4 linked regions of the Notamacropus eugenii genome follow. The protein of the gene in region 4 purifies or fractionates together with the protein of the main gene of each other region. This does not show direct contact. Links are inferred from orthologs where the notes say so. Each region holds a gene or a part of one and is shown on either strand. Other genes may lie near its edges. The genes, in order: PTTG1IP, BET1, VAMP3 and STX7.

The links.
Region 1: the proteins of STX7 (region 4) and PTTG1IP purify together in Homo sapiens (affinity purification with mass spectrometry; 3 studies listed by BioGRID and IntAct, counting the BioPlex papers as one, with this or other methods). This does not show direct contact. The link is inferred for Notamacropus eugenii from reciprocal best matches to the Homo sapiens genes STX7 and PTTG1IP.
Region 2: the proteins of STX7 (region 4) and BET1 purify together in Homo sapiens (affinity purification with mass spectrometry; 3 studies listed by BioGRID and IntAct, with this or other methods). This does not show direct contact. The link is inferred for Notamacropus eugenii from reciprocal best matches to the Homo sapiens genes STX7 and BET1.
Region 3: the proteins of STX7 (region 4) and VAMP3 purify together in Homo sapiens (affinity purification with mass spectrometry; 3 studies listed by BioGRID and IntAct, counting the BioPlex papers as one, with this or other methods). This does not show direct contact. The link is inferred for Notamacropus eugenii from reciprocal best matches to the Homo sapiens genes STX7 and VAMP3.

The regions. Positions count from the first base shown.
Region 1 is NC_092873.1:70,182,930-70,190,188, reverse strand, and holds the start of PTTG1IP (pituitary tumor-transforming gene 1 protein-interacting protein), read right to left. Parts: upstream 3,010-7,259; 5' UTR 2,835-3,009; coding exon 2,723-2,834; intron 2,125-2,722; coding exon 2,072-2,124; intron 346-2,071; coding exon 237-345; intron 1-236. Other genes in the region: ITGB2 (integrin beta-2), read right to left, coding at 6,394-6,456. UniProt on the Homo sapiens protein: May facilitate PTTG1 nuclear translocation.
Region 2 is NC_092874.1:489,427,658-489,435,106, forward strand, and holds the start of BET1 (BET1 homolog), read right to left. Parts: upstream 3,005-7,449; 5' UTR 2,901-3,004; coding exon 2,882-2,900; intron 2,072-2,881; coding exon 1,953-2,071; intron 1,514-1,952; coding exon 1,457-1,513; intron 1-1,456. UniProt on the Homo sapiens protein: Required for vesicular transport from the ER to the Golgi complex. Functions as a SNARE involved in the docking process of ER-derived vesicles with the cis-Golgi membrane.
Region 3 is NC_092876.1:46,453,186-46,461,101, reverse strand, and holds the start of VAMP3 (vesicle-associated membrane protein 3), read right to left. Parts: upstream 3,019-7,916; 5' UTR 2,448-3,018; coding exon 2,446-2,447; intron 1-2,445. UniProt on the Homo sapiens protein: SNARE involved in vesicular transport from the late endosomes to the trans-Golgi network.
Region 4 is NC_092873.1:217,747,416-217,755,014, reverse strand, and holds the start of STX7 (syntaxin-7), read left to right. Parts: upstream 1-4,593; 5' UTR 4,594-4,615; exon of another isoform or gene 4,616-4,734; 5' UTR 4,735-4,798; intron 4,799-4,979; exon of another isoform or gene 4,980-5,098; intron 5,099-7,599. UniProt on the Homo sapiens protein: May be involved in protein trafficking from the plasma membrane to the early endosome (EE) as well as in homotypic fusion of endocytic organelles. Mediates the endocytic trafficking from early endosomes to late endosomes and lysosomes.

The sequences.
Region 1 (7,259 bases), about 150 Mb from region 4:
TGAGTAGGTGCTTAATATTTACTGACTGACCTTAGGCACCCCAAAGTGAAGAGCATTCTTCTATGTAAAGTCCTGGCCCCAGTCCTCCCACACTTCCTAGTGCTCCATGAAGGGACTTAGTGCTAGCTGCACTTGGGAGTCAGAAGATCCCCTATGACCCAGGGGAAGCTGCTTCTCCTCTCAAGCTTGCGGATGCATAGCCAAGGGCAGATGTGCCAAGCAAAGGGAGAACTTACCCCAGCACACACCCCAGCGCGCAGAGCTCAGAGGACACAGTGAGCTGGGCGGCAGGATCTTCCTGACGGGATAGTCCAGGCAGGCATTATTAGTGTAGCACCAAAAGCACTGGAACCGACAGACAGAGCATCATCCCTCTGTTCCTGGCCCCAATCAGTCCTGTCCCCACCTTGCCTTGTCTCCATGTCTTAGCCCCCATGAAGGCTCCCCTGTTCCTCACTACTTAGGCATCCCCCTCAGAGACTGGGCAGCCCAGGTCTACAATGGAACACCCCCCCCCCCTCCCCCCGCCATGTCCCAGGGGAACAGGGCCCATCTGGATCTTGTCTTGTGGGCCCTCAATCCTTAATAAAGGTCAATCAGTTCTACTGGGGAGTGAGTGCACAGGTAAAAGAGATGGAGAAGAGAAAAACAGAGGCAGGGAGGACCAATTGCAAGGACTCAGCCACTGGGGCAGGTAGGCAGCCCTGCTCCTCATCTGCACCTATTGCCCTTCACCAATCACTCCCTAGCCCCTCTCTCACTGGGTGGGGAGAAAATGGATAAAGAGAGGACAAGAAGGACAAAGGTGCCCCAGGTTTCCTCAGCCACTGTTGTGAGTGGGAGAGAGAATCATCAGAAGCAAAGCATGATATTAGGGATCAGAGATCCAGGGCTTGGACAGAACTCTAAGGCTCCTTCTGGTCAAGTGGGAGGACACAGGACTTGGGATAAGACCAGATGGGATGGTCAGTGCCATCTCAGAGTGGAGGCTTAACATGGGCTGGCAGCCTCTGCTCCTAAGCCCAGGGAGGGGGTAGCAGAGCAAGTGCCCACTTATCCAGAGGAGGGAAGGAAGCAGGAAATTGGGGCAGAAGTCTCTTTTCAAAACAGACCAATTCATTAGTGGGAAACCTGAACCACCAGTGTAACAACAGAGGCCCCAGGGCCAAGTTGGATTGAGGGACCTGAGGACATCTGTTTGGGGTACACAGAAAGATGTCTCCCATGGGCTTACTTTAAAATAATTTCCTCATTGTCCCTCCCCAAATCTCACAGAGATTCTGGGCTGATGCTGGGGAGAGGCCTATAGCATTTTGGTACCTTTGGGATGTGCCAGGATGGGTACAGACATGTGGCCTGGGCCTGGCAAAACTGGCTTGGAAGGCCTGACTCTGGGGGCTTGTGACCGCCCCACTCATCCCAGAATGATCAGATTGAGCTCTCCTTCTCTAACCCCCCCAGAGTCAGATGGGCCATCGGGATCCTCTGATGTCTACGTTTGGTCCCATCACCTTGACTGAAATCTCTTCAAAGAGGAAGCCAGTCTGTGCTGGGGACAGAACTTGCCTTGAGGCCAGGGGACCTGCCTTTGATTCTGCCTGGCTGGGGGAGTCTGGGGAAGGTCCCTGCCAGACCCAGAGTTGTAAAAGCAGGGGGTTCCTTGGGACTGCTCCCTAGGAGAGCCTAAACCGAGACAAAACAAACCCTTCCTAAGAAAAAAAACCCAGCAGTGACTGACCATCTGTCCATCCACCAACCAACAAGCACTTCTCAAAGGCTTGCTGGGCACTAGGTCCTGGAGAAGCCACATTCGAGGAGCTCACAGTCTAGCCCAGGAGTCAGAGCGTGAGTGTCAGAGTGTACGTGTGTATGTGTGAGAGGAGAGAATATGAGCATCTGTGGGGCACGCATGTGGACACAGGGAGGTTTAGGGGGCAAGGCCCCAGCAACTGAGCCAGGGAGTGGGCCGGACAGAAGACCACAAGTGGAGGAGGCAGGGTGACGTCTGGCCCAGCACACGGCGGGAAGCGAGCGCTGAGGCCCCCTCCCTCAGGCAGGCCAAGGGACTCACCGAGACGTTCTTCAGGCAGTCGGCGCAGGATCTGTTGGTACTCTCCGAGCAAGCTGGGGGGAAACAACCACGATCACCCTTCAGCCTGAAGGAACCAGGGGAGGAGCCCGACGGAGCCCTAAGATTCAGGGCCCTTCGTTTTACAGATGAGGAAACTGAGGCCCACACAGGGCTGCCTCCCAACCTGGCCCCTGCATGTCGGGGCTTTATTTTTCTCAATGAACAAAATCTATTTCCCCGCCTCCCCCACCAAGGGGAAAGAAAAGGAAAACAAAACTCCGGGGAGCCCGCTCCCTTGTGAGCCTCCAGTCCCCCCCATCTCCCCCAAACGAGCCGGGGGCAGAGATCGGGCCCAGATCTCCCCCGACTCCCGAAGGCCCAGGCCGCGGCGCGGGGACGCCGAATCCTAGTGTTCCCTCCCCCCACTCACGGAGGAACAATGGGGGTAGCGGAGGTGACGCCAACACCAGGGGAGCCAAAGGGCAGGACCGGGCGGGGTACGGAGAAAGCGCCGGGGGCCGGGCCCGCGCCGCTCCACCTCGCGCAGGCGCAGTGTGCCCCGGAAGAGTTGCGGTTCCCCAGCCTCGCACAGGCGCAGTGGGCTCGACGCCCCCCCCGCCCCGTCCCCTCCCTCGCCCAGCGCCCCCTTACCAGCGGCCGCGCTCTGGGCCGACACGGCCGGCCCGGACTGAGGCAGGAGCAGCGGCAGCAGCAGCAGCAGCGGCCCGAGCATCACGGCCCGTGTCGGGCCCCGGGGCTCCATGAGCAAGCGCTCGGCGGCCTCTGCCGCTCAAGTACTCGGACGGAGACGCGGCCACAGACGGACGCAGAATCTTCTCCCCTCTCGGTGAGCCGCGATCCCAGCTCCGGACTGAGCAAGCGCGGGGCGGGGCCGTGGGCGGGGCCTGCTCGAGCGTCACCGCGCAGGCGCCAAACCCTCCTTTGAGAGCGAGCCGGTGCCTGGGGGGTGAGGGGGGAGGGGAGCGGAGGGGCGGGGCGGGGAGGGCGGGGCTCATTCTCTGCCGCCCCCTGCGGCCTGTTCATGGGCCCAGAGCTAGCCGGCACCCTCGGGAGCACGAGGCCTCTCCCAACCTCGGTTTCCTTGTTTGTGAAATGGGGAGGCTCGGCCCAGAGGCCCCCGGGGCTGGGCGGGGCGGGGCTGGATCCTGCCTCACCTGGAGCTTGGCCCCCCATCCCCAGGGGAAGCCCTAGGCCCTGGGGGTGTCACCGAGCTCAGCCGCAGGGCTCCTGTCCTCCCATTCGGGATCATTTTCTCTGCAAACCTCAGTCTCCCAGAGTTCAGTTATCTGGATTCCGCATTAGTGAGGTTCCCCCTATCCTGATCCTCTGAGCCGAGACAACAGGGCACTGGAGATAGAACACCATGTGTTCCCCTCCTGCTTACAGAACCATCTTCTGAAGTATTGTCTACCATAAGCATTTGGAACAGGAAGGGTAGACGTAAACTTGAAAGAGATAAGATGTAGGCTCTGGAATGAAAGGTCCCCGAGGAGTTCCAGGAGCAAATCCAGCAGTTTCCAATTTAGAACAGGCCTTCGCCTCCCCCCCAGGGAAGGCAGTGGCTGGTCTGGGCCCCGGGAGTGCAGTCACTGGTGCCATCTGGGAAGGGCACCCAAGTGCCTTGTCCCTGAATGAGGAGGGGGTTGGTCCAGGTGAGTGAGCAAGGGCTCTTGGCCTTACCTTTGCTGGCCTAGCCCTCTCTGCCTGCTCCTGCCTCCAGGCAGAGCCCTGGAGCTTGTGGGGGGCACTTCCTCCCAGCCCAGAGTGCCCTGGAGGTAGCCTCAGAAAGTGTCTCTCTAGGTGAGGACACCATTGACTCTGACCTTTGGGACAGAAGTCAGCTCACCTGATGCCCTCCTTTTAGAGTTGGGGAATTGGAGGTCTAGAGCACCCCCTACCACCACAGTGCTGTCCCTCATGGATCCCCCAATTACGCCCCTATCACCTTCCCAGGTCACCTGGCTCCAAGGCACGTTGTCATATCCTATTAGATGGGATGCCTCCCTCCCCAGCAGCCTCAGTAGATCCACCCTGACCCAGACAAAGCAGGCTCAATGTGGCTTGACCTAAAATGGGATCTGCTCAGGCTGCTGGGGAGGGGGATATCACCCGGACCTGCTGACTGGGCAAGAAATAGGAACAGAACAGAGAAGAGAAGGGAGTTGCATTCATTGATCTCGAGGAAAGGGTCTTAAGGGAGGAGTGAGCATGGCCTCTAAAGCCACCCCAACCTTCTTCAGTTAAATCCAAAGGGGGGGGGGGGGGGGAGACACAACGAGCTCCAGAGCCTGTTCCACACCTCTTCTTCCTGTGGGTGAAGGGGGATGCAGGGATGCCAGGTTCACAGAATAGCCTTTTCTGGTGCCCACTTTAAAATTTAGGCTTAAGACTGACTTGGTCAGCCCAGCTCATGGTGTGGCCAGTTCCAGGTTCTTTCCTGAGCCTCAGGTCCATTCTGAACAGAATCGGAAAGGGTGGGTTGGGGGTACCTCCAGAGCTGACCCTGAGGATCAGCATCCCTACCTCTTCCCCATCCCCCCTCTCTGCCAGCCCCAGAGCCTGGAGGAGTCATGAGTGTGCCCCCTACCCCGGGGTATGTGCCCTTGGGTGCAGCCCTTGCCCCACCACTGAGCCCCCTGGCAGATATGGAATAAACCAAGTGGTAAATGAAAAGCAAAATAATCAATGTTTCCCTAGGCCATGAAAGGTACCTGAGGTGTGTGCCCTGAATGCAGACAGCCCAGAACACAAGGTCAGTCGGTCTGTTCATGCTACAGAAGGTGAGAGTTTGGGTGAAGCAGCTGACAGCAAGTGCTGGCAATCATGTGCTGCTTCATTCCAGTTCGGACCCACGAGGGAACCAAAGGGACCTCCCTTGGTTTCAGTCTGTCCTAACCCTGACAATGGATGTGGCCCCTTCGGTGGACTGAGGAGGCCCTTGATTTACTAACGGATCACATAACTTTGTCAGTTCTTCAGCTGGCTGAACATCTCAGCCAGAGGAAGGCCCCCATTCCCCTGGTACAAAAGGGGAGGGGACAGGCAGCCAGGGACCCTCTCCTCAGCACAGGCTGATGGGATCAGGAACCTGTGGGTGGGACAAGACCTGGGATTTGTGCAAGGAAGAGAAAGAGAAAAGTCTCTTCTCCAGGAAAAGGGTCCATCTGAGGTCAGATTAGGCAGGCTTTAACAGTGGTGTTTAGTGGCATGGACTTGGCATTTCTTTAAACTTTGCTCCCAAAGGTATATGATTTTGTTTGAAAGAAGAAATTAGAGACTAATCAATCTGTTGACATTTTAATAAAGGTTTTAAAAAACAGAACCACAATGAACTGTTGGGGTATCCTTGTATTTGCTTGGTGATCTGCTTTGTGGGGAGAAGGGAGGACCCTGTCAGCTGGCATGTGCTACCAAACCACTGGGCCATATTCCAGACTTGGAGCTCCAGAGGACATGGATCATTGCTAGCCAAATCTTGCCTATGAAACCTACTGAAGTATGACAGATGTCTAATAGAGGAACATCACGGAGTCTGGCAATGCAAAAATGAGACCGTAGATGAGTGTGTACCCCCCCATCCCACCCCCACATACCAACCCTTTTCAGTTCCTACAGGCTTCTGGGTTCAGGCCCATGTGTCCATCCATCTACCCACTCATCCATTCATCATCCATCCATCCTTCCACACATCTATCCATTTTTCAGTACCAACAACCTAACCTTCTACATCATTCTATCACGTATTTCCAAACCCCACACCAGCTTAAATCCCCTTTAATGTCAGGAGTAGGTGCCAAGTGGAAGAGGTAGATGGAAGATCCCAGGGTAGACAGAGAGACTCTAAGTGCTGGTAGGAGAAAGAAAGTAAATATCCATCAGATGTGGGCTGAACCAGAGACATATGGAAAGAGAACATTCATCTGGTTGGCAAGGCCGGCATTTAGGAATCCTGGGCAGGGGGGCCTGACCAAACAGGACACTCAGTGTGATTTTGTCCACCTTCAGACTTGTCCAGCCCAGTGCTCAAGTTCTCAGGGAAGGCAGGAAAAAATCCTGGTGAGTGTAGGATCTGCAGGAGACAGTGGGCAGGTCCCCACACTGGTCAGAATATTATGAGGGTCTGAACAACAGAGGTGTAGCTGACGTGGCCTTGGTGGCTGCTAGGAGAGGTGCCTTCTAGGGTCCAAGCCCAAAGCCCAGGGTCCACTGCAGGGCCAGTGATGACTCTCCTTGGCAGATATGGTTGTTAGAAGGTGAGTGGAGGGGGCTGTTGGCAGCTTTTCAGCAGGAACAGGGGCCACCTAGTTCTCGGCAAACTTGGGATTCATAACAGTTGTTGTTGCACTCTTGAAAAGGGGATTATCCTGGGAAGGCAAACAGTATAGAAAATGAACAAACGTTTAGGGCTGGGCATGGAGGCTGGAGAAGACTGTTCTCTCCCCACCTTCCAGCCAGAGGAAAGGAGACCATGGGTATATGATGTCAAATTTTTCCCCATGTGTTGGCTAGTTTTGTTGGACTGGTTTTTTCCTTCTCTTCTGGGTTTGGCACCAAAGGTGGACCCTCTTCTCCTGTCCCTGAGTGCCAGCTGCTCTCATCCCCAGAGGTTTCCCCTGTCCATGTCTCCACACACCACCCCCCCAACTCAACACCTCTTGGGAGCAGTCTCTTCTTATTCAACAGCAACGGCTCTCCTGCTTACAAACATGCCCAGGTCTCTTCATGTGCTGCCCTACACTCCTTGACCTCTCCTTCCTCTATAGCCAAATACTGGTGGTCAGCTTTGGCTTCTATCCACTCACTTTCCATTCCCTTCCTACGCTCTGGCTTCTGACCCTGGAATTAGGCTGAAACTCTCACAGGGTACCAAGTATCTCACCAGCTCAATGCTTGGTTCTGGTCTCCCTGGTCACTCTGCAGCATCTGGTCCTGACGACTACTCTGTCCCCAGCCCCAGCTCACTCCTCTCCCTTTGGTGACAGGTGACAGATGCCTCTATACACTCCGGTGCTTTGCTGGCTCATGCCCCATCTCCTGTGCCACCGCTAAAATGCCCTGCCCAAAGTTCTGCCTTGCCAACATCCAGGGCATATCGGTTCTGCCTGGACTGGCTCTCCTTAGCACCTGCTGGAGTATGCTGCCCCTCTCCTGGGCACAGACACAGATT
Region 2 (7,449 bases), on a different chromosome or scaffold from region 4:
AGAGCTGATAGGGTCCCTTTCCCCTAAGAGTGTCATGAGACACTGGAGAGAAGGGAGAAGAACTGGCCCCTGTGTGGTCATGCTGTGCTTTCCCAGGGGGCTGCAGAGCCCCACTCAGGCCCACAGATCACCTAGGCTGGTCGCCTCTCTCTGCCAGGAGAATAGCCAGTGAGAAAGGTGGAAACCTGAGTAGGGGGAGTCTCGGTGAGGGACAAGATCAGGCCCCCCCATGAAAGAGGCTGTTTCTCCCTCCACCCCTGGAAGGAGAGGAAGGAGGCCCATTCCTAGCAAGTCCTGTATCCTGGTGCTCAGCCCAGACATCTCCTGTCCCTTCCACTTTTGGACCTCCAAGTCAGGAGCCCTTCTCTGGGAGACCAGCCTGTTCATCCCACTGGAAGGTTCAGCAGGAAGTGGGGGCAGAGGTCAGATCCTGCCCTCCTCCACATCGATCTCCGCCTCTCCCTAAGCCCTGATGGGGAGGGATCTTCCTTTGGGGCCCCCCTGGTCTAAGAAGAGAAGTGCTGGAAGGCAGAATCACTCTACAGGTCAGTCAGTTCATCTAAATTCCCTATTCCCCAACTGACAAATGGTCAGGACAGAGACAGAAGAAATCCAGGCTATCAACACCCTTATGAACAAATCCTGCAAATCAGTAATAATTAAGAGGAAAATTAATTAAAGCAACTCGGAACTACCACCCCAACCCCATCAGAATAGCAAAGATGACAAAAAAGGAAAATGACCAAGGCTGGAGAAACAGGCATGCTTATGCATTGCTGGTGGAGTTGTGGTCTGACCCTGACATTCTGGAAAGCAATGTGGAACTAGGCCCCCAAAAGGGACTAAACTGTGTGAACTCTTTGACCCAATGACATCAGCAGGCCTACATCCTAAAGCCATCTCCTAAGAGATGGATGAATAAATTAGGGCACATGCATAGGAAGGAAGGAAGGGATGTGGGAGAAGGGAATGAAGGATGGAATGAAGGGGGAAGGAGGGAGGAAGGAGGAAGAGGAGAGAATGGACAACAGAAGGAAAGGCAAGTAGGGAAAGAAAGAGGGAGGGAGGAAGGGTGAGAAAAAGTGAAAGAATGAGAAATACAGAATGAGGGAAAGGGAGAAAGAACTCAAAGGAAAGAGGACTTTTTTCCAAAGCCTGGAGGAAGTAGAACCAGGAAAGCCTGGGCCATAGCTTCTCACTGTAAACAGAAAGCGCTCTGAGAGGTCCAAGCCAAGGGCAGTGCAGTGATCACCCGGGCGTGAGAGGTAAGGGATGGTGGCCCCCGCCTCGTGCAGGGCCAATGGGGACGGGCTTGTTTTTCTTTTTCTTCTTTCCAGAAGGAAAGAGAGGAAGCAAAAACACCAACCTGATCATTGGAAAACTAAAACACATATAAAAACATGTCTGCTCTGCTCCAGTGGATTAAATTTCCAGACCGCCCCTGCCCATCACTCACCATCTCTGCCAGCATTTTGTTCTGATGCTTCACTTCGTGTCCGATTTCGATGGAAAGCTGTGAGGGGAGACAGGAGGCTGAATGTGAGGAGGCACGAGGCCTGGAGGCCGGAGGGGGGGAATGCCAGGGACCTTCCTCCTCCTCCCTCCTAATGGTCCCACCAAAGCCCGTGCTGCCTCCTACATTTCTGTCTGCTTTACTTCTCCATCTGCCCTGGGACTTTGCTGAACAAGTGAATCATGGGCTGGGGCAAAAACAGGGAGGGTCACGAAGCCAGGTTTGTTACTCAGTGGCTCAAAGAGAGGAAGGCTGGCAAACACTATGGGGGGGCAGATTTCCCCTGCAGCTCCTCCTCAACCCCCCACAGGCCTCAGAAAGCCTAGGGGAAGAGGGGCTTGCACAGCCCTCCCCAGGCTCAGGGGCTCCGAGGCTCAGGCCTGGATGTGCTGGAGCCCAGGATGCCTGCTTTGTGCCCCAGCTCTGGGCTCCCACTCACCGACTTGATGGCGGTCACCTTGGTGCGCAGGCTCTCAGTCAGCCGGGCGTTCTCCTCCTCCAAGGAACTGTAGCCGCTGTTGGCATAGCTGTGGTGCCCGGGGGGTGCCCCACCTTCACCTGGCACAGCACGGGGAGGGGAGTTAGATCCATCTACCTGGGGGTCCTTCTCCAGGGGTTCCATCTTGGGGGGGGGCCCTGCCGCCCCCAGAATCTTCACCTACTCCAGAAAGCCTGCTCTGCCCCCTCCGCCACCCAAGCTGGAGTTAACTTCTGTCTTTCTTTGCATCCCTAGAACTGGGGTGGTGCCTGGCATGCAGTAGGCGCTCAATAAATGCTTGGATGTGTGCTGCCTTCTCTCCCCAGAGCCTCGCTCATCTAAGAAATGGGCTGATTCCCCTGCCCCCCTTCCCAAAGATCAGCCCCAAGGATCCCCAGAGTGACGTGGACCCACGGCGCCTTCTGTGTGGCGGAACCTGGACGGAGCTTGGGGGGAGGGGCTAGGCTGCTCCCCCCACCCCGTCAGAGGTCAAAGTCCGGCGCCGGGGTTTTGACAGGCAGGCACTGACCCCGATGCCAGGCGGCACCAGGAGGCGGCAGGGGAGGAGGAGGTTTGGAAGGACCCTGTACAGTGGGAGAAACTGAGGCAGCTGGGGGGGCGTGACCTGCCCAGGGTAAAGGCCACGGGGCTCACAGTCTGCACAGGCGGCAGAAAGCCTAGGGGCGCCCCCCTCCAAGACCGCTGGGCCCCCTCAGGCCTGGACCTCGCTCTCCAGCCCCGGAAAGCGCCCATACGGCCGCGCCCCCTGCCTCGGTTTCCCCTACTGTCAAGAATCCCGCCCCCAACCTCGATTTCCCTAACTATCGCAGAAGCCCTCCGAATTCCTTCCCCTCGTCTACCTCAGTTTACCCGTCTCCCGTCCCACTCACCGAGGCCCGCGCGCCGCATCGTGACCCCCAAACCCCGGTCTTTCTCCCGCCACGTCAGCGCCGAGGTCTGCGCGGGGTGATGACGTCACGGACAGCGCGGCCGGGAATCACAACCCCGCAGGCGGGGCTCCGCGGGGCCTTCTGGGAAATGTAGTCCCGGAAAGTGCTGTGGGCACTTGTGGGAAGCGTAGTCCAGGAAAGGACGTGGGGTCCTTGGATCCCTCCTCCGAGGGTGGGAGACGGGCGGGTGTGGCACTCTGAGCCGGGGACCTGGTTGGGGAGCTCCCACGGCGGGTCGCCCAGGCCAGCACCATGGCCACCCCTGCCGCCGCGGGGAGCATTCAGGTCCTTTTGAGGAAAGGGAGGTTGGGGGCGGGCGGGGGGGCTGTGGTTGACTTGACCCAACCTGAGACCCCCAACCCTCTCCAATGGTGGCGGGGGTCACGTTCCCTTTCCTCCCGCCTCCCTCGCCGCGTGTGTATGCCCCTTGGGTAAAGTTCGGTGTGTTGTTTCCCCCCCTTCCCCCACTCCCCCCGTTAGAATGGAAGCCTTTTGGGGGCAGGGACTCTGCTCCTGCCTTTCCTTGGACCTTCAGCACTATTGCCCGTCTGTCACCCTGTGGGATCTTAATAAAGTATGGACAAATAAATGAACTACGAAGAATTTGAAACAACCCCCAGCACCCACCCTCCCAGCTGGAGGGACAGCTCCCTCCTCTGGTCTTCACCCCTCGTCCTCAGCACCCAGCCTGCACATCTGGTCCCGCATGTTGTCCCATCGATCAGTTACAGACCCGAGGTAGTTACTTTGTATTTCCTTCAACTCCTTTCCCTGTTTCTTAAAAGGGGGGTTACCTTGTCTTTAGGAACACTGTTAACTTCAGGAATGTGTGAGAGATCATCCCAGAGGAGAGAAAGACCTAGTTTTAAAGTGAACTAGGTTCACTAAAGTGTCAAAATACGGTGTCTAGGAGAGAGAACCAGAGACGGGGAGGGTTCGGAGGAGTCAGAAAGAGAAAGAGAAAAGAGAGATAGAGATGGGCAGTAGGGAAGGACCTGGAAGACCTGAAGAGGTTAGGGAGGGGAGAGAAAGAACTGAGGGTACGATCATCTGCTGGAGAAGTGAGATGCAATCACGTTCCCTGACACATGACAGGCCTTGGCAAGGAGAAGGGCCACAGTTTTTAGAGGCTGGGGGAGAGAAGGAGATGTACTCTTGGGCCCCCTCCCCCAAGGTGCCCATGGCCCCATCCCACCTCCCCCCAGGTGCTCCTGGTCCCCATCCCACCTCCCCCCAGGTGCTCCTGGTCCCCATCCCACACCCACACAGATGCTCCTAGCCCCACCATATATTTCTGGGTGTGCCTACTGTCTCCTGCTGCTGGGTAAAGGCATTTTTACTTTTGTTTTTGGATGTTTAGGGTCTTGATAAATGCCTGTTGATTGATGCATTGAATTTGAGGTGTGTGTCTGCAGGGGAGGAATGTGAAATAAGACTGGAGTACTAGGAGAAAGATTATGCAGGTCCTTAAATGCCAGGCTAAGGAGTTTGTAGTGAGAAAGGCATCGTGTGGTCTGACATGTACCTTAGGAAGGTTGTTTTGGAGTCCATATAGAAAACGTGTGTTATTAGTCCTGTCTGACTCTGTGATTCCTTTTGAGGTTTTCTTGGCAAAGATACTGGAGGGATTTGCCATTTCCTTCTCCAGCTCATTTTACAGAAGAGGAAACTGAGGCAAAGAGTTTTAGATAATGTATCCAGGGTAACACAAATATTAAATGTCTGAACCCAGATTTGAACTCAGGAAGATGAATGAGTCTTCCTGACTCCAGGCCCAGCACTCTATCCACTGCATGACCTGGCTGCCCCTATGGAAGATGTATTGGAGAAGAGAGTAGAACCAGAAGATCCAATATCAGGCTGTTCTAACAGCCCAAAAGAAAACCAATGGGAGAGATGTGAGGAGGGGCAGCTGACAGGCCTTGTCACCATCTTGGATGTGGGGACCACTGGATGATTCCTAGGTTGGGAGCCTGGGGAATGGGGTGCCCCCTGCAGTGACGGGGGCTTGGAGGCAATAGAGTGAGTTGTGCTTTGGGGATGCTGACTTTGAGATGCCTCTAGGGCATCCAGTCTTGCCAGGCTTAGAGGCCTGAGGGCTACCCGAGTCTTACCTTATCTATCGCAGGTCTTCGGCTGGCCAAACCGGATAAACGTATGAGAGAAGAGACCTTCTGGAGTCGAACAAGGGTTAGGCTTTATTCAGGGTCTTGGTTACATGTGCAGGGGGAACTCTTCCTTAGGAGAGAGAGAAATCTCCCAAGGAGGCAAAGATCTTACAGTAAGAGAATGGAAGTGGAAGTGGAAGTGGGGAGAGAGGGGAGAGGGAGGAGCGAAGAGAGGAGAGAAGGAAGAGGGGCCTTCTGTCCTGTAAGGGCCCTTCAGCGCTAACAGTGCCTTCAGGCTTTCCTGACCCTACTTAAGCTCTCCGGCCGCATAGTTTGCACCTGAATACCGTGCCTGTTAGATAACAATAGGTGTGCTCAGATCTGGGCCAATCTCGAGGGCGGGGATGCTCTCTCCCAGCACTTTTCGCACGGGAAGAGGCGGAAATGCACGAGATAGCTCGGTCTCACACCTCAATTCCCTGCTGTTCCCTGGGGGGCCTCATGAGAACGCTAAGATTTAGAAGTCCTCACCTTTACCTGCCTGAGACTGTCCACATGGAACTGAGCTTACACCCCCAACACAGTCTGAGATATCCACTGGGCAGGGAGAGATGTGAGGCTGGAGGTCAGCATAGCAAAGTAGAACTGAGAATCACAACAGAGAGATGGCCATTGAATTCATGGGAGTGGATAATGCCTCTGAGAGTGGAGGCCAGAGAGGTCTAGGCAAGTCAGGCATTTAGGAGAAATCCTCTACTCTGCCAGACTTATGCCTTCCTGGGGGAAGGGCTGAGGTTAGGTCCTGCTCTCACAGGAAATCTTCTGGCCCAGTGGGGAGGAGGGCAACACATGGGGTAAGCTGGAGATGACTCCCAGAGGGAAGGCAGGAGGTCTGAGGAGGCTGAGGGACTCCAGCTGAGCCAGGAGGCAGAAATGAAGAGAGAGCGCTGATGCTGATGTCGGAGCAGCCACAACCCGTAGAGTCCGGAGACAGGAACAGCAAGGATGCCCACTGGAAAGTAACGTCGGGCCAGGATGTGACCGGGAATTCATGTCTGGTCCTAGTGACAGCAGGGAGCCCGTGGGTTTGAATGAAGAAGGGGGTGCCATGTTTAAGGAAGGCCGATCCAGTGTGCCAAGTGATGAGGGTCAACTCCAGGGCAACCATGGCAGAGGACAGAACAGGCCCTGGGGATGATACATAAAGGTGTAGAGGGAGAGGGAGAGAGGGCAAAGGACTGCTCCCTCTGGGGAGACCGGAGAAGGGGAGGAGAAGAGACATGAAAGGGGACTATGAGGTGAGGTTTGGGATCCATCCCAAACGGTTCTGTGACCTTGGCTTCCTTTAGCAGCTCATTTGGGGCAAAAGCAGAGGGAGGGGAGGAGCAGTCTGCCCCTGGGGCTTGGCAGCTACACAATTAAGGGTGGGAGTCTGGAGAGACAGGACTGAGTAGAACTGATGAGGGTGGGGGAGTGGAAGCAATGCTCTGTAAGGGAAGGAGCTAGCGGGGATCTCAAGGCAGAGGGAAGGCATCTTTATTGCTCTACTATATTATGTTTATTTTATTTCATAATGTTTGGTTTTTTTCGTAAATTAAAAATACAGTAAAAAAAAGAAAAAAGCGCTCATGTGAAGAGGGTGGAGACAGATGCCCCCAGTGTGGATGTGGACAAGTGGACGACTAGGAGGGGGCAGTGTCCCTGGGGCTGTGGGGCAGGAGCAGTGCTGATGGTGTCCCAGGCGGTGACTTGCGTGTCCCCAGGGGAGGGTGCCCTTTGGGATGCTGACTCATGCAGCCCCAGAGCCAGCCTGGGGCTCAGCCCTGATCAAGATGTCCCTGCATGCAGCCCAACCTTGCCTAGGGGAGGGCAAGGGTTTTCTGGGGCAGCCTCCATTTGGGCCAGTCATCATCCACACTGTTATCAATGAGCAGAAAGTGCCTGGTTAGATGATTTATTGGCATCCAAGCTCAGTTGTCTCCTGCTGCCTCCTCCCAACTCCGTCCCCCAGGGCCCTGCCTCCCACCCTCCTCTGCATGTCTCACTCACCCAGTATTTACCTTGTGTTTGTCTCCAGGGAGATGATGATATGACTTGCAGCTCACTTTGATTGGAGTGCATAGGGCTGTACAAAGTCCCCAGCCTCACTTTCTGCTCCAGAGCCATCTGGGTGCAGTGGTCAGATATTCATCAGAACGACTGGAGATGGTCCCACTCCAACATTTGCCAAGGATTCGTTGAGCTCTACTGTATGCCCAGCTTGGGACCACTAGGAGATGCCTTAGTGCCCAGAGCTCCAAGCCTGGAATCAGGAAGATTCATCTTTGTGAGTTCAAATCTGACCTCAGACAGTGACTAGTTGTGTGACTCTGGGCACTTCACCCTGTTTGCCTCAGTTTC
Region 3 (7,916 bases), on a different chromosome or scaffold from region 4:
AAGCCAACCAGAAGGCTATTACAATCATGTAGGCGTGAGGTAATGAGGGCCTGGATCACAGCAGTAGCAGTGTCTTAGGAGAGAAGGGGGCATGGTCTAAGAGATGTTGTAAAGATAGAATCACCAGAACACGGCATAAGGAAAGATAATGAGTTTTTAGTTCTGAACAAGGAAATTAATCCTTATCAGTTCAGGGTATTTTCATAGTTAAGCCTAAGAATTGTGGACCACACCTTTGCCTCACCCCCATTAAGGACATAGTTAAGTTCATTTGCTATAATTATTGTTTCTTGCTACTTCTGAATGTAATTTTCAGGAATGAGCATTATTAAATTCACACTACCACTAAATAGTAGGTAAATGAAGAAATAACTGGGATAATGCTCATAGCTTTGAATTTATCTATCCTTCAAGGCCAAGATCAAATTTTATTTTTCTCATGAATTCAATTCAATAAATGTTTATTAAGCCTTTTGTGCATGTAAAGCACTTGAGTCAAGGCTCTTCCTAGGGCTGCAAAGCCAAGAAAAATTTAATAGTACCTACCCTCAAGAAACTTATGTTCTATTGGAGATAGAGAGCCATCACACACACAAATAAACACAAAGTATATGAAAGGCGATATAAAGTAACTGTGAAAGGAAGAGACTGCCAACAATGGGGAGGGACAGAATCAGGAAAGTTTTCTACTAAAAGGAGACACCAGAATGCTGCTTTGAAGGAAATGGCATTCCTTGACCACTCCAACCCAGAGTAGATACTTTTATTAGTTGATATTTAGTCAGACGATGACATGTAAGGTTATTTTTGCAATTTTTTCCCAACTGGAACTTAAATTCTTTGAAAGCAGAGACTGCCATGTAATTCTATGAATCACCCATAATGTTCAACATTATCTTGAACATATTGATGAGCAGCTATGTGATGCAATAGATAGAGAGCCATGCCTGGACTCAGGAAAACCTGAGTTCAAATATGGCCTAGATACTCACTAGTTGTGTCACCCTGGGCAAGTCATTTCACCATTTGCCTCAGTTTCCTCATTTGTAAAATGAGATAGAGAAGGAAACAGCAAACTACTGCAGTATCTTTGCCAAGAGGATCCCAAGTGGGATCATGAAAAGTCAGACATGACTGAAAACAACTGAACAACCACATAGTAGTACTTAGTATGGGGCACCTAAGGTGGAGAAGTGGATAGAGTGCTGGGCCTGAGTTCAGATCCAGCCTCAGACACTCACCAGTTGATGGACCTTGGTTAAGTTACTTCACCTCTGCTTGCCTCAATTTTCTCAACTGTAAAATGGGGCTAACAATAGCATTTACTTCCGAGGGTTGTTAGGAGAATGAAATGAGATAATATTTGTAACGACGTAGTAGGTATTATATAAATGCTAGCTGCCATTAATACTCTATTTTGGTGGAATGCATTTTCTTTCCTGAGAAGCCAACGAGACTATTCTGATTCTAGTTTCCTAGCCTCCTTTCATTCTCCAAACTTGAGCCCCCTGGGGTGCCAGATAGGATTCTTGGTAAAATCTTGGGTAAGCTCAGGAAAAATGCATTTAAAAGGTCACACTGTAAAGCACAGTCACCAAAGGGACCTTAAAATCCTAAGCCACATTCCTTCAAGAGGAAAAAGTGAACACTCCCAAAGTTGTGCACCGGTGACAAATGTCTGACTGCAGGGAGAAATGTTCCACAAGCACTCCACAAGAAAGTAACTCAAAATTCCTAGGAAGCCTGGTTCCTAGACAATAATGTTCATGATCTGACTTCTCCCTAAAGATCCACAGCGACCCCCTGGGGGCAGCCACAGCGACCCCCTGGGGGCAGGGACCCCCCCCCCAGTTCATGCTTCTTTACTCGCTTATGTAGGGAACCGTTCCAGCGCTGCCAAAGCGCCTCCCTGAGCCTCAGTTTCCCCCTCTGTAAAATGGGCACACATATCCCCGCCCCACACAGGGTCGTTCTCGGGCTCCAAGGGGACCCCGCCTAGAAAGCGCTCCGAAGGCGCTACATAAACGTCATCACCGCCGTCATCATCGTTACTGCTGCCGTGCCCACCACGGAGACCCTTCCAGAACGGAAAGGGCGGAGGGGGCGGAGGGGGCCCAGGAGGGGCCAGGGCCCGGGGCAGGGTCTCCCGCCCCCTCCCCCTCCCTTCCACGTCCAGGCTCCGTCCCCCCCGCCGAGGCGCGATCGGAACCCCGCCGCCGCCTCCCCTCGGCCGCTCCGGACCCCGGGGCTTCCCTCCTCAGACTGGAAGCTCCGCGAGGGCAGGGCCGGCTCTATTCGTAGGGCGCGTACGAGAATACAAGCGTACAGGCTGCGGCCCGCGTCAGGGCGTCCCCCGCAGCCCGGGCCGCACGGAGGGGGCACGCCCCGGCAGCAGCCGCGGAGCCAGACCCCCGCCCGCTCGGGCCCCGGAGGCGCGTCACTCACATCTCGGCGGCTGGCCCCTTCGTCGGGAGAGGAATCGCTCTGGCGGGCTCTGCGGGGCCTCGGAACGCGGAGGGTGGAGCGGCTCACGGACGCCCAGACTCCGTCTGCCTGCTCGCCTGCCAGACTGGTGGGCGGGGCGCGGCTGGTGACGCACCGGAGGGAAGAGGCGGAGCTTGGAAGCGAGGCGTACGCACGCACGCACGCACGTCCGTCTGCACGGGAGAGGAAGAGGGCTTAGACGCACGCGCGCAGGCGCGCGGGCACACCTCTCCCTGAGGAAGTCAGAAAGGGCGGAGGCAGGGGCGTGCGCGTGCGCGCCGACCAACGGACGGAACGGATTCAACGGGCGCTGCTGCCGCTCGCGGCGCTGTGACTGACAGAGCAGAGGGGGAGGGGTGGCGGCCGCCGTCCGTGCCCATGCCCTCCCTCCCTCCCGCTTCCCTCAGTCTGCCCCCCCGTCCAACTCTCTCTCCGGGCTTTCTTTTTTCCCCTCCCCTGGTTGAGTTTCTTTGGACCCTTGTAGGAAGCCGCAGGAATAGGCGGCCCCAGCGGGGGGAAGGAAGTGGCCCGGGTAAGTGAGGGTGGGGGCGGTGCCCTAGTCGGCCTCACCCTGGCCTCTGCGCTGACCCCTCCCAGGTGGGGGTGGGGCGGGGGTGGGATTGGAGAAGGCGGGACCGCGAGTGCGCGCATGCGCGCTGTACTCCCTCTGAGGCTGCCGGGAGGATGGTCCCTCTTCCCAGGTGAGGTAAGCAGTGCCCGCTGTGCCCCATATATAACCGTACAGGAGGGGTCCGGGCAGACCTGCATTAGAACTGGGAGGTATTTATGAAAGCCAGACGGATACAACGAGCTTGGCATTGCCTCCCATGTTAGCAGACCGCTTAATTCGTGCTTTTCCCCAGTCATTCCTAAATAAATGCACAGGTCCGAGCTGCGATAAGTGTGTTTTCCGCCAAAAGATTGGGAGGGACCCTGGCTCTCTTAGTTACCCCTTCGGTGACTGAGAAAGCAGCGTGCCCCATACGAATCTGAATCTGAATTTTCTCATCAAAACGAGTCCAGACTAGGGAAAGGATACAAGGGATGCCCTCAGGGAGCACAGAGTCATTGGAGACCTGACTGACAGCTGTGCACCTTTAGTAAGACAGCAGGTGTGAGGCTGAGTGCTGGGATAATCAGATTGATTCTGTCTTTTAACTGATCCTATTTTATGGTGACTTGATTTTGTCCAGTTATGGCCCAAATCGTGGTTCTTGTCTCTGAACTTAGTATGCAGTGAATTAAGGTTAAAAGTCCATTCTTGCCTCAAGGGATTCTGCTTTCCTTGGGGGATGCAGGTGGACATCAGGGAGTCTGGTCTGGTATTTTTACACCACCAAACTGCCCTTCAAGGGTGTCTGGTTTACTCTGCAAAGAAGTCTGGTCCACTTTATCTAATCTTGCGGGTAGACTCAAGGAACATTCCTTAACTACAGGAGAGGAAAGGGGTGTTTGTTGCTAGGCCCTGGTTCCCAGTTTCCAACCAATCGTGTTGTCGCCCCATGCCTCAGCTCTGTAATCATTCATTTTGATTTCACCATTCATGATGCTGAGCTCTTGTTTCCCGCCTAGGAAGTTATGTTCTTTGCTCTATACTCCCCAAAAAAGCTATAAAAGAGAACTATCTCCCACATTTGGAGGGATGTCTTAGCTTCGCTGAGGAAACTGTGATTGTATTTATTGGTAAATTCACACTTTACTAATAAATTGGTCATGCTTAGAAATTTGTGCCTCGGTTTACCTTCTTTTAACAGTTAAAGTAGTAACCTTAAAAGCAATAGGAAGAAAAGGGATTCCAAGAGTAGTCAAAGAAAGCTATGTTGGCAAGATGAGATCTGTGGTGGAATTTGAAGGATGGGTAGAATTTGGTTAAGTAGAGGGGAGTAAAAGTATTTCGAACCTTGTGAGCAAAGGTACAGGGCAAGAACAGTGGCCAAAGAATAATGAGGACATTTGACAGGAAGAAAGGGTGCGTATAGATGAAGTAGTTAATAAGACTGGATAGGGACACATTTTGGAGCAGAAGAATTGGGATTGGAGTTGGCAATAGGGAACCAACATAGGTTTGTGAACAGGGGAGTGACTTGATAAATGGGAATTTTTAAGGAAATTCTTCCACTAAGGCCTTGTGTCTTGGTTGTAGGTTCCTGAAGCTATGTAAGCAAAGCTTAGGTTTGGGGAGGCCCTCTCAAAACAGAAAGGCTCTGAATACTGGGTACCAGTTCTCAGGGTATCAGTCCTGCAAAGTTTGAAGAAGCCAAAGATGTGTGTGGTGTGGTGGAGCCTGGCTAGGGAGCCAGTTGTTAAAATGTCAGTGTGAACATTTACACCTTAACTTGACTGCTGATTGCCTGGACTTAAAGCAATCAAGGAAATGTTGGTAATTCAGACTCAACTTAAAAGTATGTCAAGAATACGTTACCCCTGCCCCCAACAAAAACAAAACAACAAAGGATTGTTAAACATTTAGTAGCACATGCTGGAACTGGGTCAAATGATGGGGCTGGACTAAATGACCTCTAAGGTTTCTTCCAGCATTAGGTCTATGATCCTATGAAGGGTGATCGTTTTTTTTTTTTGTCCATAACCACTCTTAGATGTGGTAGAGTTGTGCTCTGCATCTGTGGAAGGGCCCTGTAAGATATTAATGAAATCCCAGGTTGGAGTAGACTGGATTTAAAGTGGGAAGAGTCTCTTGAGGGAGAGACCAGCTAGGATATTGTTGCAATAATCCAAATGGGAAAGGTGCAAAGGGCCTAGGCTAGGATGCTGGCAGTGGGAATGGAGGGGAGCCCTGTAGAACTTTAAACAGCTTGCAAGATTGTCACTAGTGACTCAGAAGGCTTCATAGTTACATGTTTTTAATTCAGTCTGGTATTTTAAATACAAAGATTTTAAATGATTTCTCTGTAATTTAACCCATTTAAGTAACTTTATTATTTGCAAATTGAGTAGAACTTTCCTGAGATGTGCTTTGGAGGGCATGTGTGAATCATGTTCATTAAAGACAGATTCTGGACCCAAACTTTGTTTTTTGAAATGGATACGCTTGAAACAACATGAAGTTAAGCACAATGTGCCCTGGTTTTAAATAGCCGAGAAATCTAAATTAAGAACAAAACACACCAACACCTAGTATGGGGAAATTTTCTTCATTTTTAATTTACAGCAGAAAGAATATAAAGCATTCAGAAAACATTTTCCATATTTTAAGGGCAATTCAAAACATTTTGCATGGTTCCAGCAGCTGAGTTCTTCAACAGATCCATTGATTCAGTGATGCTTTACATGCACAATTACAAAAATAAAACTTACAAAAAGGAGACATCTAGACTAGTTTTACATGCAAGTCTTGGGGACCCCCCGTTGGGCGCCAACTACTGTGTGGAACTGCCATAAGCGACCGTGCAACCATAGAGGGGGTTCATGTTATAGTCTTTATTTCGTTCACACAGTACAGCTGATTTCAAATGTGTAATAATAGCAATTAAATTTTCAGGAGACAGAATAATATTAGCTATTAATTTTTATAATGAAATCCTACTCCTGGCACTTGGGAATTCAGATTATCCAAGAAAGCTGCGCTTACCTATCATCTTATACTCAAAACTATGATCCACAACCAAGAAAAGGGCGATCAGAAATGCATTCTTTCAGTGGAAGTGCATTTTTAGCTAACTCAGTGGTCAGTGGTGGGTTATGCAGTAGGCAGTAAACCTACTTTCTCTTCCCTCCAGGAAGACCCTCTGAGTTGGAAGAGTAACATTAAGTATTTCTATATCTTACTGAGTCTTCTATCTTGCCCATCTAATAAATGTATGTGAAACGTTTTTTTTGTAGAAATGTGAGGGTTAAAACAAATCCACTGAGGTCATTACTCTTGTTAAAGATCCATTCTTTTCATAACAAATGGAATAAACATGTCTAAATTCACTTTTAATACAGGACATTTCGAAAGATCTGGCCTTCACATTCCATTCCCATTTGTGTGTGCAATTATGTATATGTGTTTATGAGTGTATAATACTCAGTGTTCTCCTACAGGCCCAATTTTGTAAAATAATAGATGTTTTGGGACTGCAACAGCTGCAGCATGAGCCACACACTTAAAAAAAAAATTGAGTTAGGTCAGTTTACAAATGTACAGGTGGCTGTTCGTTGTGGGACTGTCACTGTTGTCAGAGCTGATCACGAGCAGTAAGACGTATACTGTACAGTAATTCAAGGTTGGCAGTGAAAGGAAGTAATTAAAAAACAAGTACAATTATAGAAAAGGCACCAAGAGCACTGACCCCAGTTTTTACCCCAATCCTTTTGTATATACCTTCCTTCCAAAGACACCAGTTTAAAAGCTTCTTATTTGTGAATATTTTTAGGCTTCACAACAAGCCTTGCATTTTCACTTACAGTTGATGGCCAAAATCAAGTAAGAACAAAACTAATTGTCATTAACTTTACACCAACTGATCTTCAGACTTAGCTTGGAAATTTTAAACTGGTATCAGCAAATACTAACTTACCCTCTCTTAATTTAACATTAGTAGTTTCTATTTTTTTTTTTAAAGTATCTGATTTCTTTGGCTCCTCATTATGTGGAAATAGTAATATACCATGACACCCCTACAAGACCAGTTTGCATCATTTTAATTTTAATTTTTTTAATTTTTTTGTGCAATTTTTATTACATTTTCTGACTTCCAGCAGGAGATATGAAAATGTGAAACATATTTTTCTACTTTCAGACTATTTCTTTTTTTTTTTCAGTTTATGTTCATTCTAAGTGTTCTTTATTGGAGTGAGTGGATGGTGTTAAGCTATATACTGGTTTTTCTTATGATTATCTGCTTTGCAAAATTAACTTAATTTTCTTAAGCAATATTAGCATTCACATTACTTGGCACCATTGGCAAAAAAAGTTAAAATAAAATTAAATCAACTCCCGGTAGCCAAAATTAAATGTAAACATATCCTTTTTTTTGTTTTTTAGTAATGTTACTCTGCCTTTTTTTCCTAAGTCTAAATACAGTAGCTCTTTTTTTTTTTGCAGTTTAGTCATGCTTTAGCAAAATGTTCTTCTAAAGAACATTTAAAATAAAGTACTCTTATAGTGAAATAAAGTTTTTGTTTCATTTTACAGACCATAGCCACTAATGCTTTGCTTTTTTTCATTTCTTTTTTTTCTTGAATTCATGCACATATCTCTGTTTTAATATATACAATATGTACAAACAATACATCCACACTTTTCTCGCTCATTCAGACAAAACTATACAAATAATAATTTTATCTTGCCATGTTATTGACCCTTTGTGAATAAAATATTTAGTAATTAATCAATATAATCCCTTTCAAATAGTATTTCTCATTTTCCATTTCTACCTTCTATATATACACAGAAACTGCTCAGTTTTGATGAAATATCGCCAAAATAT
Region 4 (7,599 bases):
GATTTTGGTGGAGTTCAGACTAGTTCCTGCCTTATTCTGCCACTTTGGCTCCACTCTCTCCATTTTTACATTTGTGCAAATCTCTTTAATATCTGACTTAGTAGAAAACTAATGGATTTTCATATCCTCTTCTGCATTAAGTCTATTGTTAGATGCTATTTTGGTTGAAGTGTTTGAAGAGAATTCAGCCTCACACAGATACGTTTGGAAAAGAGAGAAACATTGCATACAACTGGAAGTTAAGATATACAGGCAATGGAGTATAGAAATCTATTTTGCCCTACAGGAAAATAGAGGGGAAAGGGAATGGAAGAAGGGTGGGTAAAAGAAGAGAGGACAGACTGGAAGAAGGGGTGGATGGGGTGCATACTGTCCTAGGTAGGGGGTAGGGAGAGTTGGTGTGAAAATTTTGAATTCAAATTCTTGTGGAAGTGAATGTTGAGAATTGAAAAATAAATAAATTATATATTAAAAAAAAGAAAAGATTGAAGCATTTCATAATTGTGAATATCTTCTTTGATGCTATATCAAAACTTGACCAGTTACTGTTACAAATGTAGTGGTAATTGACAAAGGTATGAATCCAAAACATTATCAATAAAGTTTTTATACTGCTATATTAAAAGTCATTGTTCCATATTGTGCTTTGAATGGATCCTTTACTCATTCATGGTTTTATAGCATCCTGCTTTGATCATTTGGAAAATATTGGTTCACTAAATTATACATAACTTCCAAATGTTGATGCATTTCATTATACAACATTGTAAAATCATATTTATTTATATCACCCCTAATCTCATCAGAAAAATCTTTAAGTGTTGGAAAACTTTCAAACTCATTTTTGGTAGACACACATTTTCCAAAATTCTATTTTTGTTGACATTTTAAATTTTGTCTTTAGCAACAAATTCTATCAATTGTTTTCCTTGAAGTAAGCAGACCATTGCACTTATTTCTGGAAAAAAAAAAAACTACCATGTATCCAAGTCTGAATAACAATAGTGTGTCTTATTTCATTCAAGTAAAAATGGTGATCTATGAAAAAAAGTGCTTGTTCATCTGGCAACTCACATGATTGCACAAGTAGTCTTCCTGGAGACAACCATCACTCTTCAGCATGCAGCAGAAATGGTTTATATATATACTTCCCATTTTGTCACACAGAATACTAAAAAGACATTACTGAAATGTTGAGATTTAATAAAATTAATATTTTCTATTACTTCATCAAGGACATTCTTAAGTTAAACTTTTTTTTTCATTGCAGGTGAATGGGGATGATGAATACAATGACTACTGGTAAAGTTTAGAGTCCATCCCTTGATTTGTGCTGTGGCACTAGGAGTTTTATCTAGAATTTTGTAACATCAGCACAAAAGTCAACACAGTTGCTCCAGGATAAGCCATGAGATTCAAAAAAGTTATTCAACACTTTGTGTATTTCAGCACCATTTGTGTTTGTTGCCAAGAATTCACATAAAGTTCTTCAGTGATTTGCTGGAATACAAGCAAAACATCAGGTTTAACCATGTTCATACATTTGTCCAAATACAATTCTGTAGATGAGATATCTTCATTATTGCAGCCAAATCTTCATTTCACATATCAGTGGAAAACTGCACTATACAATTGTGAAAGGATAGTGAAAAAAGCAAATAACATCTTAGTATTATTGTGAAAATAACTTTGACCTTGCAAACCACTTGAAAGGGTCTCTCTAGGACCTACAGGAATTCTCAGATCATACTTTGAGAATAGCTGTTCTAAAGGAAACAGATATTTCTAAAACAAATATGTGATAAAGACCACTCACTTCCTTTCTGTTAAGACACAGTCAGTTTCATAGAATTACAGAACTTGAGAGTTGGAAGGCACCTCATTGGCCTTTAAAAGGTGATCATCAAAAAAAATTCCTCTAACTTCTTTATAAGTTACTAGCATATGAGCATGAAACTTCTGAATAGTCTATAAGCCTCTGTGCCTTTTGGTTTCTTATTATTGTACCATATTCTCTATCTAATCTTACCATTCTCCTTATACCCACTTTTGTCTTGAAGTCAGAGATTCATTTCATAGATAGATTCATTATTGACACAAAGTAATCTGTCTCTCTCCCTCTTCCCCACTTCATCTTCATGCATAATACTATATGTATGTATTTGTGTTCATATGTATATTCCCACCTCATCTATTTCATTTTCTACAGTAGGTGTTAGTACAAGTCTTCATGATGGATTTGTTTGTTCTAATTAATTAATTTTGCTTAAGCTCATTATATGTGCTTTAGGGTGAGAGGGTCTAGTACCATACAGAAAATTGTATTTCTTGTTGCTCCCTTTGTTGATCAGTGGTCACAATAAGATGTGAGTCTTACCTTCCAAGGAAAAATTCAATCAAAATATTTTTCTAGCCAGCACAATGAGTCCAAACAATGACCTCACCCCTGTAACCTTTCCAAGTTGACCTTCTCATCCACCATCTACATTTTATTTACTTTGAGCAAAGCATCTATTATCTTTCCATGTCAGACAGCATTTCTCAAACACAACAAAAGTTTGTCTGGTTTTTCTGACTTTACAGTAATTTCACATTAGGATTAGAAAGACTTGCCTTTCTCCAGGCATTTAAAGCCCTTTATACCTTTTTAGTCTTCTGACATTTTACTCTCCTCCATTCATTCTTGCCCCAGTTATACTGGGCTAATATTGTAACAGCAAGGACCCCAGCATACATAGGAAGGCCTGCTATATAGGTTCTTAGATCTGTTTTTCTAAAAGGAAAGTAACTTTTAAAGGGTCAACAACCTACTTTAATCAAAGCATATACATCATTCACTTGGTTTAGGGGGAAAAGTCAGCACCCTGAACTTCAGAGAAAATACAAACAGAGAAATAAAGATCAACAGACAGATCCAACTGTCTGACCATCTATGCATAGTTAGAAGAGAGAGAAGCACCAATATGTGGGTTTTCAAAGCCAGCAGACTCCTTAGTGGCTTACCAGAGTCTTATATGGCACACAAACCTTCCTTCAAAAACTAAGCCCCAAAACAAAACTTCATCTCAGAGTATTTATACACTTTTCAGAGCTAGAGGGCAGGACCCTCTGAACCAGTGTCTCAGTAGAAATTAACAAAAGGTATTGAGGCTTATCAATGGGCAGGTAGTGAAGATCTTTAACTCTTCCCTCCACCTACTATTAACCTTAAATTACCATTACTACTACATACCCTCAAGTAGCATATTCTGTTTTTCATCTCCATACCTTTGCACTGGTTCTCCCCCATGCCTGGAATGCTCTGTCCTCTCACTCCTATCTTCACCTCAAAAATGAATCCCTAAGACTCATTTTAAATTCTGCTTTCTACAGGATGGCTTTGCCTATTACTCCCAAATGATAACACAGAGTACCCTTCCAGATTATATATGCGTAAATATATATTCATGTGTAATATATGGAAATATGATACTATAAATAGACTTATCTGTAAATATATGTGTTTTAATGATGTGGTTTGAGAGGTTCAGGGACCCTTTAAGGACTGAAGTACAGAAGAGGGTTGTCTGAAATTAATTCAGGAACTTGGGTAATCTTTAAATCAAGATTGCAAAAGTTTATTGTAATGCAAATATGACTGACAGAGCTCCTTAAGAAACTTGCAACTTAAACAGGAATGATGCTAAACTTTTATAGGAAATGTAGTAGATTATCTGGCAGATATGCTAATTAGGTGATAACATATAACACACAGGCCTCATTCACTACTGGAAGTCAGGGGAAGGAAGGGGTTTCTCATCTGTGTTTTTTTGGTCCCTCTGCAGCAAGATAGCTTTGAGAGTTGATATCTATAGTTTGACTTCTGGGTTGTATACTATAACTTTGGGAAACAATACATGATGATTCTGCTGGTACAAGAGAGTCTTGTTTTTACAAGAGAAATTCTACAAAGGTCAGATTGTTCTTGGAAGGGAGAAACATAGTTTGTCTTACTGGGGCCCGCTGATGAGTTATTGCTAGGCTGGGGTAAAAAATTGTCAGGGATAGTGTTTTGAGGCAAGGGAAAATATGATGTTGGAAGAGGGGTCCACTATCAGCATCAGTAATGTAGGTAAATACACATATCTATCCACATATGTAATCTAGGTGAATATAAGATGTATACAGATAGTCTGTATATACACATATAGAGATCCATACAGTCTATCTGTTTATTTATATATCTTAAATTGACCTAGTTATTTTGTCTACTTATTTACATGTTGTCTTCCCCCTTCCCCGTTATCTTAGACTGAGCTTTTAGAGATCAGGAACTCTTTTTGGGGGGGTCCCCTATTTTGTGTCCCTAGCATTTAGCACAACAAACGCTTCTTGGCTATCTGACCGCCATCACACTCTGGATGTTACTTTTCTTCTGCGCCTTTACATTTTCAAGCCCAAACTGTGACATCTTTGTCTCCATTTTCAGGCCAAAACTGTGACATCTTTGTCTCCGTCAGCACAAAGTCAAAAGCAATAATCGTCTCTCTCTTCCCATTTCTAGGCGGAGAAAACTGGGCAGAAAGGGCGGGCTCTGACTCCACCCTGAGCCCCAGAGCGCGCTTCCTACCTAAGGGTGAGTCGGAATGGAAGTTCCGGACACGTTCATTGCCATAACTGCCAAGGGGTCCGTGGAAAAGGGATTCTTTTGGCAATGAAATGCAATTTAATCATGCCCATGCTTCACACCAACAGGTTGGGATCTTCTGCGTCCGCAGAGGGCGGCGGCGGCTTTCTTCCCGGTAAAGGAGACGGACAGGTAAGCTGGCTCCTGACAGTACACACCTACCGAAGGGCTCAGCTACGTCTGCTCGCCGACTCCCTGCTTCGCGCAGAAAAAAGGGCGGGGCGGGCAGGAAAGGGTGCGTGTCACTCAGCCCTCGGGGCCAATGAGAGAGCTCGGGGCCCGCCCCCTTTCCTGGGCTCTGCGGCCGGGCCAGCGCAGCAGGGAGGCGGCTGCTGCGAACCACCGCCCATCAGCTGAGAAATTCAGCCGGGTGCCTTCCGGGACGCTTAGGGGTGGCCGTCGGTGGAGGAGGAGGAGAAGGTGGAGGTCTCGGTAAGAGGACGTCTGGGGCCCCTGGGCCGTCTGGCGCCCGCGGAGCGGCGCCGCTGCCCTTGCGGCCTGCCCGCCGCCTGCGGGGTCTCCGCAGCCTTCCTCCGGCGGGGTGTAAGGCGCTGTCCGTTGGCCGCCGCCCTGGGTTTTGCCGCAGCTCCTGGACAGGGCGGCCTGTGCCGCGGGAGTCGCAGCCACGGACCGGGCGCTGCTTGTCCCCGCCTCCCTTCCCCCTTGGCGGGGGCCGGGGCGGAGGAGGCCTGAGCAGTTTCTAGCTGCCTCGGGGCTGACGGGCGTTTTTTCCGGACCTGACAGAAGGCCGGGGGGATGGGGGATGGGGGGCTAGTTCCGCATTCCCGCCCAGCCCAGCTGGCCCCGGGACGGCCGACTGGCCTCTCCCTCCCGGGGTGAGCCGGCGCCCGCCCCAGTTGTGTTCCCCGGTCTCTGCCTGTGCTCCTGCGGTCCCTGTCGCCTCTGTATTCCCAAAGCGCTGCCACCTGAACCTGTTGCTGAGAGGGCACTGGAGAGTAAAGCCAGTGCCCATGCGGGCACCAGGGGAATGTGACTTGGTGTAACACTCCTGTCCCTCTGCCTGAGCCCTCCCAAGGCTTCTCTTTCTTTGCTCATCCGGGCATGAGCACCATGCACAAAGACCACTGCACACGTGAAGTCAGGAGATAGGGAAACAGCTCGTGGTGTTCCGTCCCCTGATTAAAAGTTCTGCTGGGAAACATTGCCACAAACCCTGGCGGAGCTAGCTGACGAGAAATTCATAATTGTGCCCCTGAGGGATGGAGTTGACCTCTTCCTCTTTTCAACTTGTGTTTAATAAACAAGTCTCCAAGTATCATTCAGGAACTGAAAAAAATAGACTACTGTACTGAAATAAATGAACCATAATTTGTATTGTCAGGAAGTCACACGTTCGGTTAAGTTCTTTTGTTGACTTTGGTTAAAATTTTTAATTTTCAGTTACTTTTTTAAAAAGTTGATTATTATGAGTTTTTGAAACAAAGCAGAGTCCATGTTCTTCCTAGTCACTTTTTTTCTTACATTTCCCGTAAATAAAAAAATGCATTGCCTGGGTTACATCACATTTTTTTTAACCTTTCAAGTTATTTTAAATTGAGTAGTTATCTTAAATGTATTGAGGTTGACGTTGTTTGCACTGCCTCCAATATATTCCAGCTATGCTTGTTCAGAACAACTTCCTGCCTATGTGTGGACTCAAGCAAATCATTTTTTTTCCAGTTTTGTGAAATACTTCTCAGCTTGGTAAAGTCCTGATAGCTTAGCAGGCAGCCCTTCTGGACTAGCCTGTGCCACACCTGTGCAAAGATTGATAATGGTTCTGACTTAAGTCTTGTGATATGGAATGAGCAGCAGTAGCAGGTTGCTTCAAACTTGTGACTGCAGGATTATGTTCTGGATTCTTAGTTTCCACATCAGTTAATAAGAGACCATATTAACTCACTAACACTCTGTCCCATCTTTGTTTTTTTCTCCCCTCTGGTCACTTTACTTTACTCCTCATGACACAAATCCTCTAAATTCTAGTCACTAGTTTTCTCTAAGTTCCAAATATTTGGTGCACACAAGTAATACAGGTGTGAATAAAGTAAGAATGAACTTAAATATGGAATTCTAATTGATCCCAAATTTGGGTGCTTGTTGTGGTGAAAGTTGTGGTGAACATGAAAAATCTTTATGGTAATGTAAGCTGAGATTGAAGAGATTTTGGATGGGCTAGAAGAGCTCTGAAGTGAAGCAGATGTTTTTAAAAAAAAAAAAAAAGCTCTAGAGAGAGAATCTCCAAATAGTCTATGATACTTTCTATACTGGGGAACAAGTTTGTCGACTACATATTGTTACGGAATAATAACAATAAGGGATAGGTATTGAACCTGCCATTTCATTGACATAGAGAACTCCCACATGTGGAAACTGCTTCTACCAATGCATATTAGCACGTTCCCTGAAATTTGTAGTTTTAGAGAGTTGCCTAGAACGGTGATAGATTAAATGAATCGTTCAGGGTGTGTACATCAGAGGCAAGACTTGAACCCAGGTCTAACTACTACACCAGACCACCACAGTAACAACCATAATAAACACCTTCTAGTGTTCAGGTCCTTCTAGACCAGATGCAATTGATGCTTTTTTTAAAAGGCACTTGAAATTTGATAAGACTTAAGTATTTCTACATTATACTTCATGCTTTCTGTCTGTCTTTATTATCAGTGTTCTGATAATAGCATTCTAAAGCTTTTTCAAATAACAGAAGAAATAAAACATGTTCTAACTATCAGAACCAAATTCATCAAATGAGAGAGTTTGGTCCTTGAAGGCATTCTTAAATTCTGGTTCTTCTGTGTTGTCATTGAGTCGTTTCAGATGTGTCTGACTCTCTATGACCTTATTTTAGGCTTGGCTTGGCAGAGATACTGGAGTGGTTTGCCATTTCCTTCTCCAGCTTATTTTGCAGATGAGGAATTGAGGCAGAC